Linked DNA regions of Arabidopsis thaliana. The protein of the gene in region 2 interacts with the protein of the main gene of each other region in a pairwise test. Each region holds a gene or a part of one and is shown on either strand. Other genes may lie near its edges.

What was found. The genes of interacting proteins can lie anywhere in the genome.
Region 1: the proteins of AT5G28040 (region 2) and MBD4 interact in binary tests that used the Arabidopsis thaliana proteins (3 or more experiments, as listed by UniProt).

Annotation. Positions count from the first base shown.
Region 1 is NC_003074.8:23,292,270-23,299,165, reverse strand, and holds MBD4 (methyl-CPG-binding domain 4), read right to left. Parts: upstream 3,882-6,896; 5' UTR 3,773-3,881; coding exon 3,725-3,772; intron 3,254-3,724; coding exon 2,741-3,253; 3' UTR 2,540-2,740; downstream 1-2,539. Other genes in the region: AT3G63052 (uncharacterized protein), read left to right, coding at 55-255; AT3G63050 (uncharacterized protein), read left to right, coding at 794-1,216; AT3G63040 (uncharacterized protein), read left to right, coding at 1,957-2,520; AT3G63020 (hypothetical protein (DUF3049)), read right to left, coding at 4,127-4,741. UniProt on the Arabidopsis thaliana protein: Transcriptional regulator that binds CpG, CpNpN and CpNpG (N is A, T, or C) islands in promoters regardless the DNA methylation status. Plays probably a role in gene silencing.
Region 2 is NC_003076.8:10,035,680-10,043,663, forward strand, and holds the start of AT5G28040 (DNA-binding storekeeper protein-related transcriptional regulator), read right to left. Parts: upstream 3,323-7,984; 5' UTR 3,259-3,322; coding exon 1,975-3,258; 3' UTR 1,905-1,974; exon of another isoform or gene 1,358-1,904; intron 438-1,357; 3' UTR 1-437.

The DNA of each region.
Region 1 (6,896 bases), on a different chromosome or scaffold from region 2:
CTATATATACATCTGCAAAGTAAAACCAAACACAATTGTCACTGGACGAAGTGAATGGGTCATATGGGCTTGTCCAAGTTCCGACCCAGGAAAGTCCCCGGGCCACTTATCCGCAGAGATGCGGCCTCGGTAACGAGAGAATCTTGCGGTGGAGAGATTCAAATTGCTGAGACGCGTGTGTGGAGCTTATGTGGTCTCTCCGCCGATGATATCATGGCCGTTCGACAGTTATTCACCTCTTCCTCTATGGACTAACTGAACGGGGCTTACGTTTCAATGACAAGCAACTTTTTCTTTCGTCGAGAGAATTTTGTCAAAATTAAAGTCAACAGCTATCATCAAAACACGTGATTCACGCGAATTGAAACGTGACAATAACAAAAGTGAAAAACATAAGTGAGAAGTACTTTTATAGATAGATCAACAAGTCTTGTAAGTGTATAAAGAATCTTTACAAGTTTTCGTCCACTCAACCGAAATTTACAGTGATAAGGGAGCTTCATCTTTCAATAAAGAAGCGAATCTCCAGCTCCAACGGAAGAAAAACTTGCACAAAAGCAAATTTCTTTTTAGTTAAAAAAGCGACCAAAAAACAAAAAAAGAGTATTATGAAAGAAGAAACTAGATAAATTCTGTTTTCCTTAGATATAGAAAAGACAAAGACAATCACATTTCCCCCCAAAGCGTAGAATCAAAGCAAAGCAATCGGAAAAAGAAATCCATAATCCCACTAATTTTTTCATATAATAATAAACCAACACCATAATCAGACATTCATGTAAACAAATAGACGATGCAGAGAGCAAATGATGATGACAACAAGAGAGGGTTTTTTCGGCGGCTTTTAAAGTTGGTGTTCGTTAAACTCATGGCGGGTGCGGGTCACAAGGAAGATAAGTCTGTGACAAAGAAACTGATCAAGAAAGAATCAAAGTCTGATATCACAATTTATTTCAAGCAAAGAGAAGAGTCCGAGGATAACAACGCTAATCCCATCAATATCTCAAGAAGCTCGGAGAAAGATAGGGTGATCATGCTGGTTAATGGTAGTAACGGCTCAAAGAAGAACTTAGCGAGTGAGCTAAACGTTAGGCGATCAGTAGCTCAAACTGGAGCTGGTGGTGTGACACAGCCGAAGCCTCTTTTGAATGATATAAACACTAAATCACATGCTTTCATTCAGAGTAGACTCGAGAAGATGCGAAAAGGCTTGTAGCCAAATGCATGATGAGTGTATGACCTCTCTGTTTTGACTCTTTTCTTTCTTCACCTCATATATGTCTTAAAGACTCCTATCTAGCTTTTTCATCAATTCAATTTTACGATACACATACTTCCTCCATTCTTCATGTTACATGAATGTATAATTTGTATTCTGAAATATATTTTTTTTATTGTATAATATCAAAATTTATGTGATTATCAAGAACCTCTTTTCAAAGCTAAGACACGTAAAGTGATGTATAGGTTCGTTGTGCACTTACCATGATTTATAAGCAGATTGGGAATCAAATCATGCTAAGGAAATTATAACAGATATGAGAGGAAAATTATTCCTCTCATTACATTATCCATGACATGATAAGTTTATTCCTTGCCTAATTTGAGATTATACATATAGCTTGCAAAACCACTGAAACTATTTTGTGTGTGAATGAACCCATTAGACAAATGAAGAGAAAAAGACACCTGCCTTAAACCATCTCAAATTCAATGCAAGGATCAATTGAAGTCATTGGAACTTGTCTCCTCTCTTCTTTTTATTTTTTTGGAGTTTCCTTATGTTGGATTTGGACACGTCTATGCACAGGCTAAAGCATGATGTCCAAGTGGATGATAGGAGAATCTTGACCTACACGTACCCGTAACACCTGTAGAATCTTGCATGTCACTAACCAACCCCTCTATATAGTATAACACAAAAATTATCATCATAACCTATTACATCTATAAAACATGACTAGAGGCATGATACCAACAAAAGCAAAGGTAGTAGTCATCTCACTGATTTGGGCTATTCTGGTGTTGGAAAGTGCAACAGTGTCAAGTGCAGTAGAAGATTTGGTGGTGGAACAGTGCAAGCACAACTGTAAACATGATATCCACAACAAGAAGAAAGAGTGTGAAGATAAGTGCAATGAACTGTTGATGATGGAGATAGAGAAAGAGACAAGTGGACGACAAGAAGAAGAACACAATCCCTTCTGTGAGGCATTTTGCAACCCCTTTGAAGGACTCTTTCAACATTGCATGGCCGTTTGCCCTCGCACCAAGTCCAAACCAGAGATGATGGTCATAGGAGGAGAAGGTGTTGCTAATGAGGGTTTGCAGACAAAATGCAACAGAAAATGCCTGTCTTACACCGAACCGGAGGCCTATAAAAAATGCATATCCGGATGCTTCATGTCCAACGAGGAAGTCTGTGAGACATCGTGCAGTATTCTTCAAGAGGAACCGCTCACTATAAGGTGCATGAGGATTTGCCATGAGAGAATTCCCGGAGTTGTAGCCTCTACTTAATGTTTTACGAGGGGACTTGTAAGGAATAAGTGTGTTTCTTTGGTGTAAGAATCCAAATTAAAAGAATATTTAACATTTGAGTTCCGGTTAAAGAAGAGACAAAAGATCATATTTTTTTGCTTAGAGATGTTAATATCATAACAGTTTTAGAGAACATCAAATCTATAAAGACTCAAAACGCATTGCTTTAGGGAGCAGAAAGAAGGTAGAAGAGAACATATTAGTTATGGCTCTGCTTGACACTGCTCTTCTCTGAAGTAGTGGTAGTAGTGCTTGGAAAAGGAGAGCCAAGCTTCGGATCAGGGGGAACAGTATCTTCCATGACCTTGGGGACAGTGAAATTGAAGTCTCCAAGTGGTGCGTTCCTGAATTCCGGATTGGCTTCAACGAAGGCAGCGATTTCATTGCGACTCCTGAGCTTCTTCCCGGTAGGAGTAAAGTAGTAGGTATCCATCTTAGAGTAATCTTTTCTGAGAACTAAGCTTCTCTTGAAACCTTTAGGCGTTTTGGGGAGACCAGGCTTGTCAATGACCCAAGTCCGAGAAGAATCGTAGTCAATATCAGCAGGCTCTTCACAAGACATGCCCTGTTTCTTCTGACAGTTAAAAGGATCCTCGAGCATTTTACTTCTGATATCTTCATATTCCTCCTGGCTATCAATCACCCTCCACTTGTGACAGTTATCGCACTGTGCAGCATAGGTATCAATCAACCTCCCAGGAGCAACATCTTTCTGCCATTAAGTCTCAGTGAAACAACCCCACACAAGACTTGTGAGCGTAGAAGAAATATATAATGTAAGGCAAGAATAAGGAGCGACACTACTCCAGCAAGCGTTAAAGAAAAGAACCAAGGCTTTCTTAGAGCAATAACTGAAAGCAACGACACATCACGAGACTGACTCAAAGTTTGCAAGACCAAAGATTTCAAAGTTAACTACCAACAATTTACTTCCAAGCACCAAAAAATCGTGAACCCCAAAACTGATAACCTAGAATTCTATGCCTTGTATAACTTCCTCCATCAATAGTAACTACTAATACGGGATCTGAGATCTCCAAAGACAGTAAGAACACGAAAAACGCATGCACTTTGACCGGAATTATAAGAAGGTTCGCATCTAACACAATAAAGAGAAGAAAAACGCAAAGAACGGAACCTAGAAAATGGAAAGCGAAATATATGTAAGTCATTGTGGGACTACCTTGGCTTTTGGTTTCGCTGGTTTTCCGATCTCCTCCTCTTCCTTCATCTCACTTACTTCCCCAGATTCTTTTTTAGTAAACTTTTTCTCCAAATCTTTGTGTCCCCCAAAAGTAAAACTCTCTCAAATAAGTCTTCCTGCGAACAGTGTGATAACCGCACAGCCTGTGCTTTAATGTATCACTGTGACGGACAAATCATAAATTAACACGTCGGCTTGAGCGAATTATTTGGGCTTCAGGCCCAGGTTTGTTTTGCAACAAAATATTATTATGGGCCTAATATTCATAAGTAAAGCCCATAATTCCCTTTTCTTATCTTGTTTCTAACGGATCATCGGACTACAATGTCGTTTTTTCCCCCCGGAAAATTAGCTGAAAATATCAAAATTCTAAGAGGAAGATCAGTGATTCTGTTTATCTTCATTATCATCTTCTACTACGTCGTTTTGTTGACTGATTCTCACTGTTCCGATTCTTAGTCCTTCTCTCCCACGAACACTAACGATCTCCGGTGAATCTACTGCCACGCTGGCAATCTCTAACCGTCCTTCGCTTCTCACTCTCCTGTGATGAAATCTCGGCCGTCCGTTACAATCCAGTGTCGTCAAAAATGGTGGCAGATCTCGCTTCCTCGTCACGCTTCTTCCTCTCCGCGGCGACGGCGCCTTTGATCTCGACTCCGTCAGCAGCGGCGGTCCATACGGTCCCCACGGCGATATCTTCCCTCCTAGATAGAAACTGTAACTGTTATTTTTCGAAGAACACGAGAAATATTCGTCAAGAATAACTCCACACACACCTCTATGTTCCCTGCACTCGTCGTCGGGATTCTCGTGGTCTGATTTTATCTCTAGAGATCTGCTCACGGATAAGCTTTGAAGAGGTTCGCCGCCGGAATCAACAGGAGTGCTCCAGCGCCGTCGATGGGAATGCGTAGGCGTGTCTTCCTCTGCCATTGACGACGTGCGGTGTTCTTCATCTATATCTCCGGTGAGAATCGTAGAGGATGACGTCATGATTAACATAACCGCTCGTCCTTCCCTGTTCTCTACTCTCTACGATCGCAACTCTGCATCATTTTTTGGGCCTTAAACGAGATTTAATGATTTATAGTATTTGGTGGGGCCTCTGCGAGAGGTTTTGCCAGCGTGGCAAACAGATCAGGATTTACTCATTTAACGGGCTTTTGTAAACCATGACACCTTGTAAGTAAATTGGTCCGCATGGTCAAATTAAACCTTGTCTTGGAAAAATCTTTTCACCTGTAAAATATTAATCTCACCGTCCTTTTTCTGGTGGCAGTAATTGTGAACAAAATCTTAAATCATATTAACTTTAATTTTTGGGAAATACGCATGCAGCACATCGAATGATTTTTAAAAATATTACATGAATTTTTCTACGAAAATTTTGAAACTAGTTTCTAAACATTACTACAGTATTAACTAATGGCTGCAATTGAGAGGGTGAAAACATTGAATTGGGTCATTCCCCATCAGTTTTAAAAAACTATAAAGTTAATTGGGTCGTAATTGCATAAAACGTTATTTCTTTCCCGGAAATAATACTCAGTTCATTAATTTGATGGGCTTATAGAACGATATTCTAAAGCCCATTATACGGGCCACAAGAATCTTTTGAGACACTCGACAAATGGCAATCGCTAAAAGCAAACCCAAAATGTTTTAACGATATGTGATAACTCCTGAGCCATGCATGCTAATTTTGCTATGTCATTTTGTAAGAAAACACGTTACTACAAGTTGTCTTTGTTTAGACCGTTAAACGGCATGCAGTCTATTATTCTGGACTAACTCCATGTGAATGAAAACATACATATGATGACGAGTTGATGATGAATGCGAAAGTGATAAGAGAGCGATGATGTTTAATGGTCTTTAGGGTTTGAGATATTCGAGATGAATAAGGTTCGTGTCTGAATCTCTAGGGGTTTAGGTTAATAGGCTAATAAAGACAAAAGCATCGTTGTTCAATGCTTTTGTCTCTTCTTTACTTTTCTTCTCTTTCGTTTTCTTTTTCTATTTTTCTTCCATTTCTATGAATCTCTGCACATCTAATACACTTTCCATTCGGAGTAGCTCTACTCTTTAACTTCTTCCCATATTTTATAGTCTCGTTATTTCCCCTTTACCTCTTTGATTTTCTCTTCTATGATCAGGTTATTTTGTTGTCAAGTGTGGATTGGATTTATTTTCTTAATTTGGTAATATTTTATTTTTCTTATGTTCTAGTATTTCTTTATGATGTACCGACAAAAAAACAAAAATAAACTATCATTCGATATGGGTTGAGTTATTATGGTTTGATTGATTTAAATATATTAGAATATATACATATCTGTGTATACATTTATCTCTCTTTGTATGTACTAATATTTGTAAATGTTTATCAAAAAAATTACCACTAATTTGGAGATTATATATAAAAAATAAAGACTGCTCTTCTTTAATTTCGTTTCCTCTCCCACATACACGATCGACACCTCCTTACATAGGATATGTTAGTCGAATTCACTACCAAACGCACCGCAGCCTGTAACATCTAATGTGAACCAGAGAAAAAAAAGTAACACCCATAAGCTATTGATACCCTTTTGAAATTATAAATTAAAGATTCCTCAAACCAAACCTTTAAGCTCAAAAATGTTAGTTAGATGATGACTATTTAATAAATTTGTAATTTTGGATCTAAAGCATTGAATATAGTCTACAAACGACAAAGCCAATCCATTGACAAAAGAAAGAATCTTAGTGTAAACGACAAATTAATGAATTATGGAGAAATCAGAAGATGTTGATAAATCACCAAACATATTTAAGATTTTTTTTGTCAGAATTAAAGACCACAAAACTATATGAGAGCGATCCTTTGTTACACAAATGCAATATATTTTCCAAACACGGAACATAATTGCCCAAATAATTAGACAATATTCACACAAATAAATTAAAAGAAAGACACTTTCCCCGAGTAATTGCCAAGACAATTTCATTACAAGACAAACGAGAGTCGTTTTCACGCACGCATCAATGAGCCAAAAGTTTGGTCATAAATACTTTGACAAAATTTTAAAAAATTAAAGTACTACAAAATTTTGCAAGATGTTAGGACTAGAAAAGTCAAATGTTAATCGGGGAAAAAAATTATATT
Region 2 (7,984 bases):
AATACCTAAAAGTTCAAAGAAGAGGGCAACATCTCCATCTTTTCCCATATTGCATCTAGAATGATGGGAGAGAATCTAACGCTTAGGCATAAGGTAAACCTTTTCCAAAGAATTCAAGTAATCAACAGCTCTTTCTCTGTTCACCACAATAAAAGTATGTTCATCGATTTCAATTTTAGACAAACCCTTAAAATTAAAATGAAAATCAAAAGCCAAAATCAATAAACCAAAATAGAGGATAAAAACTCTGTCAATCAAAATGGAGATAAGAATTAAGAATACTCACTTTCCTCACCAAAGCTCAAGCTCATCTTCAGTAATCGCATCTCTAACAACACGCTTATCTCTCGATCAGTCTTAGCACCAGAAAGCATCGTCAAAGCTCCATTAGAAGTGATTAACGAACCTTTCTCATACTCAATAGCTTGCTCATAAAGCTATACAAACAACAAAATCACAAACTCAATCTATTAAATTCGTCACACAAGCACTGATAAATATTCTGTATAGCAAAACATTTCTAGAGCTATGCATAAGAAATACCTTGCTATATGAGAATTCGGAGGGATCATTTAGACTGAGGCAAATTGTGGTTGTGGTAATTGTTCGATATGAGATGGTTATTTATAGTGGATCATTTAGACGTTAGAATGTTCTAGATATTTTAATTTAGGTAATATTCTGATATTCAAATATCTTGAGAATATATGCTTGTTATTAGTTTACAAATCTAAACAAAAAACAATACCCAAGTGTTAATGTGGTTACCTTTTTTGTAGGGAAATTTTGCCAAAAGATATATTAACAATGATTGACGAAAATTAACGAAAAATTGAACTCAAAATTTGAAAAAATATAAATTAGTTATGGAAGATGCTAAAGATTACCATTTTTGTAGGAAAGAAATCGATCACATTTATGTTTTTAGATATGACATTAAAATATTATTACAGTTTTTTCTAGAATTCAAATAGGAAACCATTTGATTTGAAAATAGTTGTTTGTTATAACTACATATACGATTTATATATTTTCAAATCAAAAACTAAATATTGTTTAAATATTTTTAGGCGTAAAGCCAATTAAGAACGGAAATACAGATTTCTCTAGTATATTGTGTGTTTATTTGAGGTAACAGAAATTAGATTTTGTGTTGCAATTGATAAAAGAAGAATAAATTTTGGTAAGATATCATTAGCATTTAAAACTAAAATTATTTTCGAATCAAATAATTGTAGATATGGTTAGTTATGATTGATTTCCGGGTTTTGTTAATTAGGAAATTAGCATAATGAATTTCGTATAGTTTTAGGGATTGATTTGTGCAATTTATGAGGGTAGTAGTTAACAATATCCATGTTTAGGCAAGTAGTTAGTGCAATATCTTAATTGTTTATCAAAAATTTGGTTATTGTCCTAAAGAAAATATTTTGTCTGATTGATTTTGTAGGGACTAACCATACAATATCGAAATTGAAAAAGGATTTTTCGACACAAATCGTCCCCAAAAATGTATATGTAGATATATCAAAGAGTTATAATAATAACTTCAACAGGTAACGAAGAGAAGACATAACACCAAAGATTCTACACTTGACACGTCTTCGGAATACATAGATCAAACTCCAAAAGAATACATGTTAATGTTCATTAATCATTAGATGTATAATATCATATTATATGCATCACACAAAAAAACATTATAAATAGCACAAAAGAGTTTTTTTTTTTTTTTGAACTCTACCAAAAACTATAATTTATCAGCTAAGAACAAAGGTTATTCACTCCTAATCGACAAAATTAAAAAAAGATTCAATCAAGAAAAAAAAATACTAAAACCCTAAAAAAGATTTCATCACCATCAGAAATTTTCATTAAGATTATTACTTTTGCTAATACTATACCTCACCATCATAATCTTTCTTCATCATTTTCTCATAACTTAAAGAACCCATTGTAGTCTTTCCTTATGCATCATCCTCCATTAGGCATTGTCTTTAACTCATTCACCGTGGCTCTAATCTGTTCTTGAACCAATTCTAATCTCCTCGAATACACTTCCAGCTCAAGAATCTGTTGTCTCCTCCACCGTTCGTCCCCTACTCCCTTACCACCAAACCCTAAATTCATCGACGGCATTAGCATCGGACTCAACACACCGAGAGCATGAGCACCACCTCCAGGAAACCCACCCGTTGCAGCCATCATCATACCCGTCGTACTATTCATCATCTCCTTAATCATGGGCGATACACAATTCTTAACCGTCTCTTCAATCAACACTCCAAGATTCCTCCCATCACCAAAATCACAACCAACAGCCACATTCTCGTTAAGATTAACCGCATTCGGTATCACCCCGTCACACGGAGCAAGAACAGGCTTATCCTCGTCGATCTTCCCGATCCTAGACCGTGATCGTTTTCTACTTATCGTCACTTTCTTCTCTAAACCATTCTCCGAATCAACATCGACATTCGCATTACCGATAACAGAGACATTAAAACCCGAGCTACCATTCGCGTTATTTACATGATTAGTTTCTTCTAAATCCATCACATTATTATCTTCAAAACCAATAATTTTCCCAGTTTGATTCCAAATCTTCCTAGAGATATCAAAAGTAGCTTGATCATGAGGACTTTTAAAGAACACTTCTTTACCAGAACTAAACTTACTCATAACATTCCTATACTTCTTCTTCAACCTCCTTAGCTTCTCCACAAGCTGATTCTTATTAAACTCTAACTGTAGCTTAGATTTAATCTGTTCATAAAACGGCGCCGTATCAGGCGGATGAGAGCTGTTACCACGGTGGTTTGTGATGTAATCGAGAAAGCCACGGAGAAGCTCGATCTCGTCTTCGTCAGTCCATAGTCTCTGGAATAAACGTCGTGAATCATCAATCGGTGGTCTCTGATGAACGATTTCAGTCATACGGTGCCATTTCTGATCGGAATCTGATGGAATTGAAGCTACAGGTACGGCGGATCCAGCGGGAAGAGCGACGGTTACGGTTCCTGAGGATGATTTCGTCGCCGGAGCTCTGGAAATCATTGACGGAGAATTCAGATCTTCGTATTCTGGATCGGGATCGGGATCGTGATCGTCGTCTTCGGCTTCGTTTGGTTCGGGTATAACAACATCTTCGTCGGATTCAGTTTCTCCTCCTCCTCTTCCGCCACCGCCACCGCCGCCGTCTTCTTCTAGATCTGGTGATTCAGCGGAGAAATCAGTGTCACGTTGATCCGATGCCATGAGAAAAACGTAGCGAGAGAGAAATTTTTCTGGTAGATCGAATCAGATCCAGAAAGAAGGAATTGGGTTCACGAGGATTGATACGGGTTTGTTTTTTGGGTGGTGGTAGGGTATGGAGAATATTGGAGATGAGTAGGGGTAGTTTCGGGATTTTAAGAGTTGTAATTATGACTAAGGGTGTTGCGGTTGCAGGCAAGTGGTCCAGTGTTTGTTTCTTTTACCCGTGCTTTGTTTGGGTTGTTGCGGTTTTAGTTGAAGCGTGATCATGTGTTTAAAGTCAATGGTCTACCGCAACCGCGGCGAAACAGAAAAGCGTTCGACAAACTTGATTTTGTTATTCTGTGTACTGTTGCGTTTCTTCAACGTCCCATATTAACGGGTGTTGTGATTGGTGACTGTTGTTTATGACGGTTAAGAATGTTTTTAGAGATTATAGAAAAAGCGATTAGAGAAAATGCGATGACATAACAATGAAAAAAGGTGGTTACTTTAAATTGAAAAAAATTGTTATAAGGAAGGAATATAAGAGATTAGATAACATATAAAATTACTTTTACTATTAATAATCTCTTAATAGAACAATACAAATAAAGTTATATTGAAAAAACTAATACAGTATCAAAACAATTGGTAAACTCACAGATTTTTCATGTGGCTTACAATCGGCTTGTTTTAATTTTTAACCGCTCACTTCATTTGTTGTAACACCCAATGGCTATTTTTAGGTATGACTGGTTTAAACGCAGTGGATATTGTATGACTTGCGAGAGTTTGTAAAACGGACGGTTGTGATTTTAAACATTATGAAATATTTTTCAATGATATGGTTAGCTTTTGAAAATTGGTGCATTTACAGAAATTTTATGAATGATTAACCAGCCGGTTTGAACGAAATTAAACCAAATAAATATAATTAATAATTATAGAAAGTATAATTACACCAAATATTTTTTATTATAATAATAAAATGTAACATAATTTAAATATAATTAATAATTAAAATCATATATAACATTCTACATAATTATTCAAAATAAATAAATTTCATAGTTAAATGTTATTACTCCATGCATTTAGTTCATGAAAAAAATATCTTTATACTAATATAAGGAAAGTACCTTTAGAAAATTCACATTGCCTTTTCTAAAGTATTACTAACCAATGCCATTAGAAGTATAATTTCAAAGTCCAAATTAATTCACCTCATTAAGAATAAACAAGTCAAATTACATAAGATCTATTTGTTTTTCTCGCGGGTTAGAGATCTTATACATATGTTATGTTAGAACCATTACTTGACCAAAATCAAGAAACTCTTTACTTGATCAAAATCGCTGGTTACAAATCTTATATATACTGCTTTTTCAAGAAACTCGGCTCTCTAAATCCTTATTGCTTTGAAGTACGCTTTAACCAACTTCCTCATTATGCATTGAAATTTGGCTTGGTGTTGTGGTAAATCTGACTCTCAATCTATGAATTTCTATAGCTATGCTTTAAACTCGATTTTGAATCTCTATAGCTTTGAAGTGGTGGAAAAGAACCAAAAGTATGCTTTTCTTTTTATCGCTCTCTTGATTTTGTTTCAGGGTTTTTTATTATGTTACACATGCTTTATATATATATATATATATATGTTTGGTGTTAATGGCTTCTCATTCTTGACTATGCAAGTTAGTAAATTTCTCCTTATGTCGCTAAATTTTCTATTTCTCTAGGTTTAGATTTAGAATTATAGTTTTGGTGATGACTACTAAACAAATTTGGTGCTTCATAATAGGTAATTATCTCAGCTCTACGTCTTCTCGATGAGGTTTTGCACCAACAAATCGATAATTGTTGGACTATTGGGCTCTCTAACCAATTCACATGAGTAGGAAGAACTTTGGGATATATTGTTAATAATGAATCCTTATGAATCTAGTACCTATTCAATGGAGTTAACAAGGACCACTTTACTCCAAAAGGAGCCATAGATAACCTCCTTAGCGCGAAATCATTTTGGTTAATGAAAGGACTATTCTGGAGAGACTTTGTTCTCTACCTTACAAACTTGGTGTTGCAAATGAAGTTGTAGAGTTATATTAATGTATAGTTATTGCTTTTATTTGGAGTGTTTTAGAAATGAATTCATATTTGTTTTTTAATTTTGCTAACTAGATCAATGCATCAAGATTCAAAGTAGTTGATCTTATTGTTCATAGAGTAGAAGACTATGAAAATCTTACCAACTTTAACAAAGATTTATTTCGCTGTCTTAATCGAACGCATGTGGCTTTGTTGTTCCAGTCTTTTAGTCCTTTGGAAATATTGGAATAACGAAGAGTAGAAGATTACATTAAGATGGTTATGGATTTCTAATTTATATCTCACTTTGTTGAGATAAAAGGGTTACATTATACGCCCAAAAACCTTAAGTTGAAGTTCAAGCATGTAAATTTTGTTGATCAGATGCTGCACAATAGTTACGTTGAGGCCATAACATTGTAAAATGTTAGCTCACTAGGCAAGTAGTTGTTTTTTTCTCTTTTGGAATCTGATGGCTTCTTTTAATGGTTCTAAAAAATGGTGATTTTAACAAATGGATCTTATCATTTATCTTGCTGTATTTAACAAATTGATGCGGATTTGATTTTCTTATTTTCAATTACCTTTTAAATTTCTGATTTCTTGATAATTATTAATTGGTTAATATTAGTAAAAATGATGTTCCTTAAAAATTTGTTCTTTAATGTCTTTGATTAAATTGTAAATTAAAAATTGAATTAGATTTTTCTTTTTTCTTTTTTTTTTTGTTGTTCTAAGATTTTGTCAATGATTTTGTTAGAAAAAATAGTTTAACCATTGATTTAATTGTCTTGCTCTTTATTTTATACTAGATTTTAACCCGCGGTATACCGCGGAGACAATTTATTTTTTAAATTAGTATATATAAAAGTTTGCAAATTAAATCTATTTATTTTTATTTTATAGTTTACAATTGTTATTAAGTAACGTCCTGCCAAACCCGTCTCGCCAAATCCATCCCATAAAAAAAACCGCGGTACACCGCTAATTTAAATATATAATTAAAATAAATATTTTACGGGATTGCAATTGTATTTTGGTTTGTCAAACAAATATTTGTTTTAAATAGTTGCCAAAATCTAGTTCAAATTTTGGAGAAAAAAGATTTATTGGATAGATAAAGAATGTATTTAGGTGTGTTTTGCTCATTTTAAGGGATTGCAATTATATTTTTGTTTGTCAAACATTTTTTGTTTTAAATAGTTGCTGAATACTGTGTGCGTGACATATGAGATTGGAATATTTTTAGTTTGTTAATTAATTTATTGCTGGAAAAAAATCAATAATTAAAAGGTAATGGCAGCCATTGTAAATAAATCTCAACTCCAGGATTTATTTCACAAAATGACTGCAAAAATGTATATATAGATTTATAATTTGATTAGAGATAAAATAGTTATTTGATTTTACCTTTCTATAATTGTTAATCATATTTTAGATTCATAGTTAGCTCAAAACTCTGAACTTTTGAGCATATTTAAGGACCAATCAAGCAAGAGCACCTTTTGTATATGCTTGATAAAATTAAAAACAACGGTCGACGATTTGAAGATCAGAGAAAAAAGATGATCTCGATTTAATCAAGGTAAGATAACTTCCAAAATTAACGTAATCAAAACAAACGACCATGATTGAAAAACTGGCCAAAAGCCAACAGCTACGATTTTATTAGATGATAGGGTCCAAAACTCACAGAAACCGGGTTTTGTGACCTCCACATTTGTCAAATAATATAATTCAAATGAGGTTTGATACCCTAGAACGTTTATAAATTTGATTATAAAAATTTATCATTTGCCCATATGTTGGCAATTGCATTACGACATTAACTCAATTGTAACAATTATTGTAATTAAATAATCAACGTAATTAACATTTTTATAATTTCATATGCAAAATAATCTAATATAAAATATTTTTTAACAAATCTATATATACATTTTTCAGCCATTTTAGCAAATAAATCCTCAAGTTGAAACTTATTTACAAAGAATACCATTACCATCAATTATTATTAATTAATTAATATTCCTAATTTGTAGCATTTCCTTATCTAATATATTTTCATCAATTTTAATTACATAAAAATGAAAAATTTTAGGACATTATTAATATATACTTGATTAAAAGATAAATATTATAGTTAATTAAACATTTAAAATATTTAACGGAAAAACGTTTTATAATATTTATAAGATGTGAAATTTATAAAAATTAAATAATCATTTGAAATAAAACTTTTAAATTGATGTGAATTATAAATCTTTTAATAAAAATATTATTCAAACAAAAAATAAAAAAAATAATGTTTAATTTTACAGAACAGGATTAGATGATAAGACGGGTTTAGAATATTTATAATATATGAACTTTAAAACAATTAAATAACCATTTGAAATAAAAATAATATTACAATACTTAGGTTATATCTTGTCATTTTTGAGTTTGGATTGACGTCATGATTTTGATAGATAAAAAAAAAGTTATAAGAATTATCTTTATTATATATAGGGTTTGAGAATATTCTTTTAACTTTTTAAAAATGTTTACGTATTTGTTGAAATATATAGGGTTTGATAAAAAAAAAAATTTACCAATCGCTATTGCCTGCAACCGCAAACGCTTGCGGGAATAAGCATTTAGAATTGGGTGATTTCGA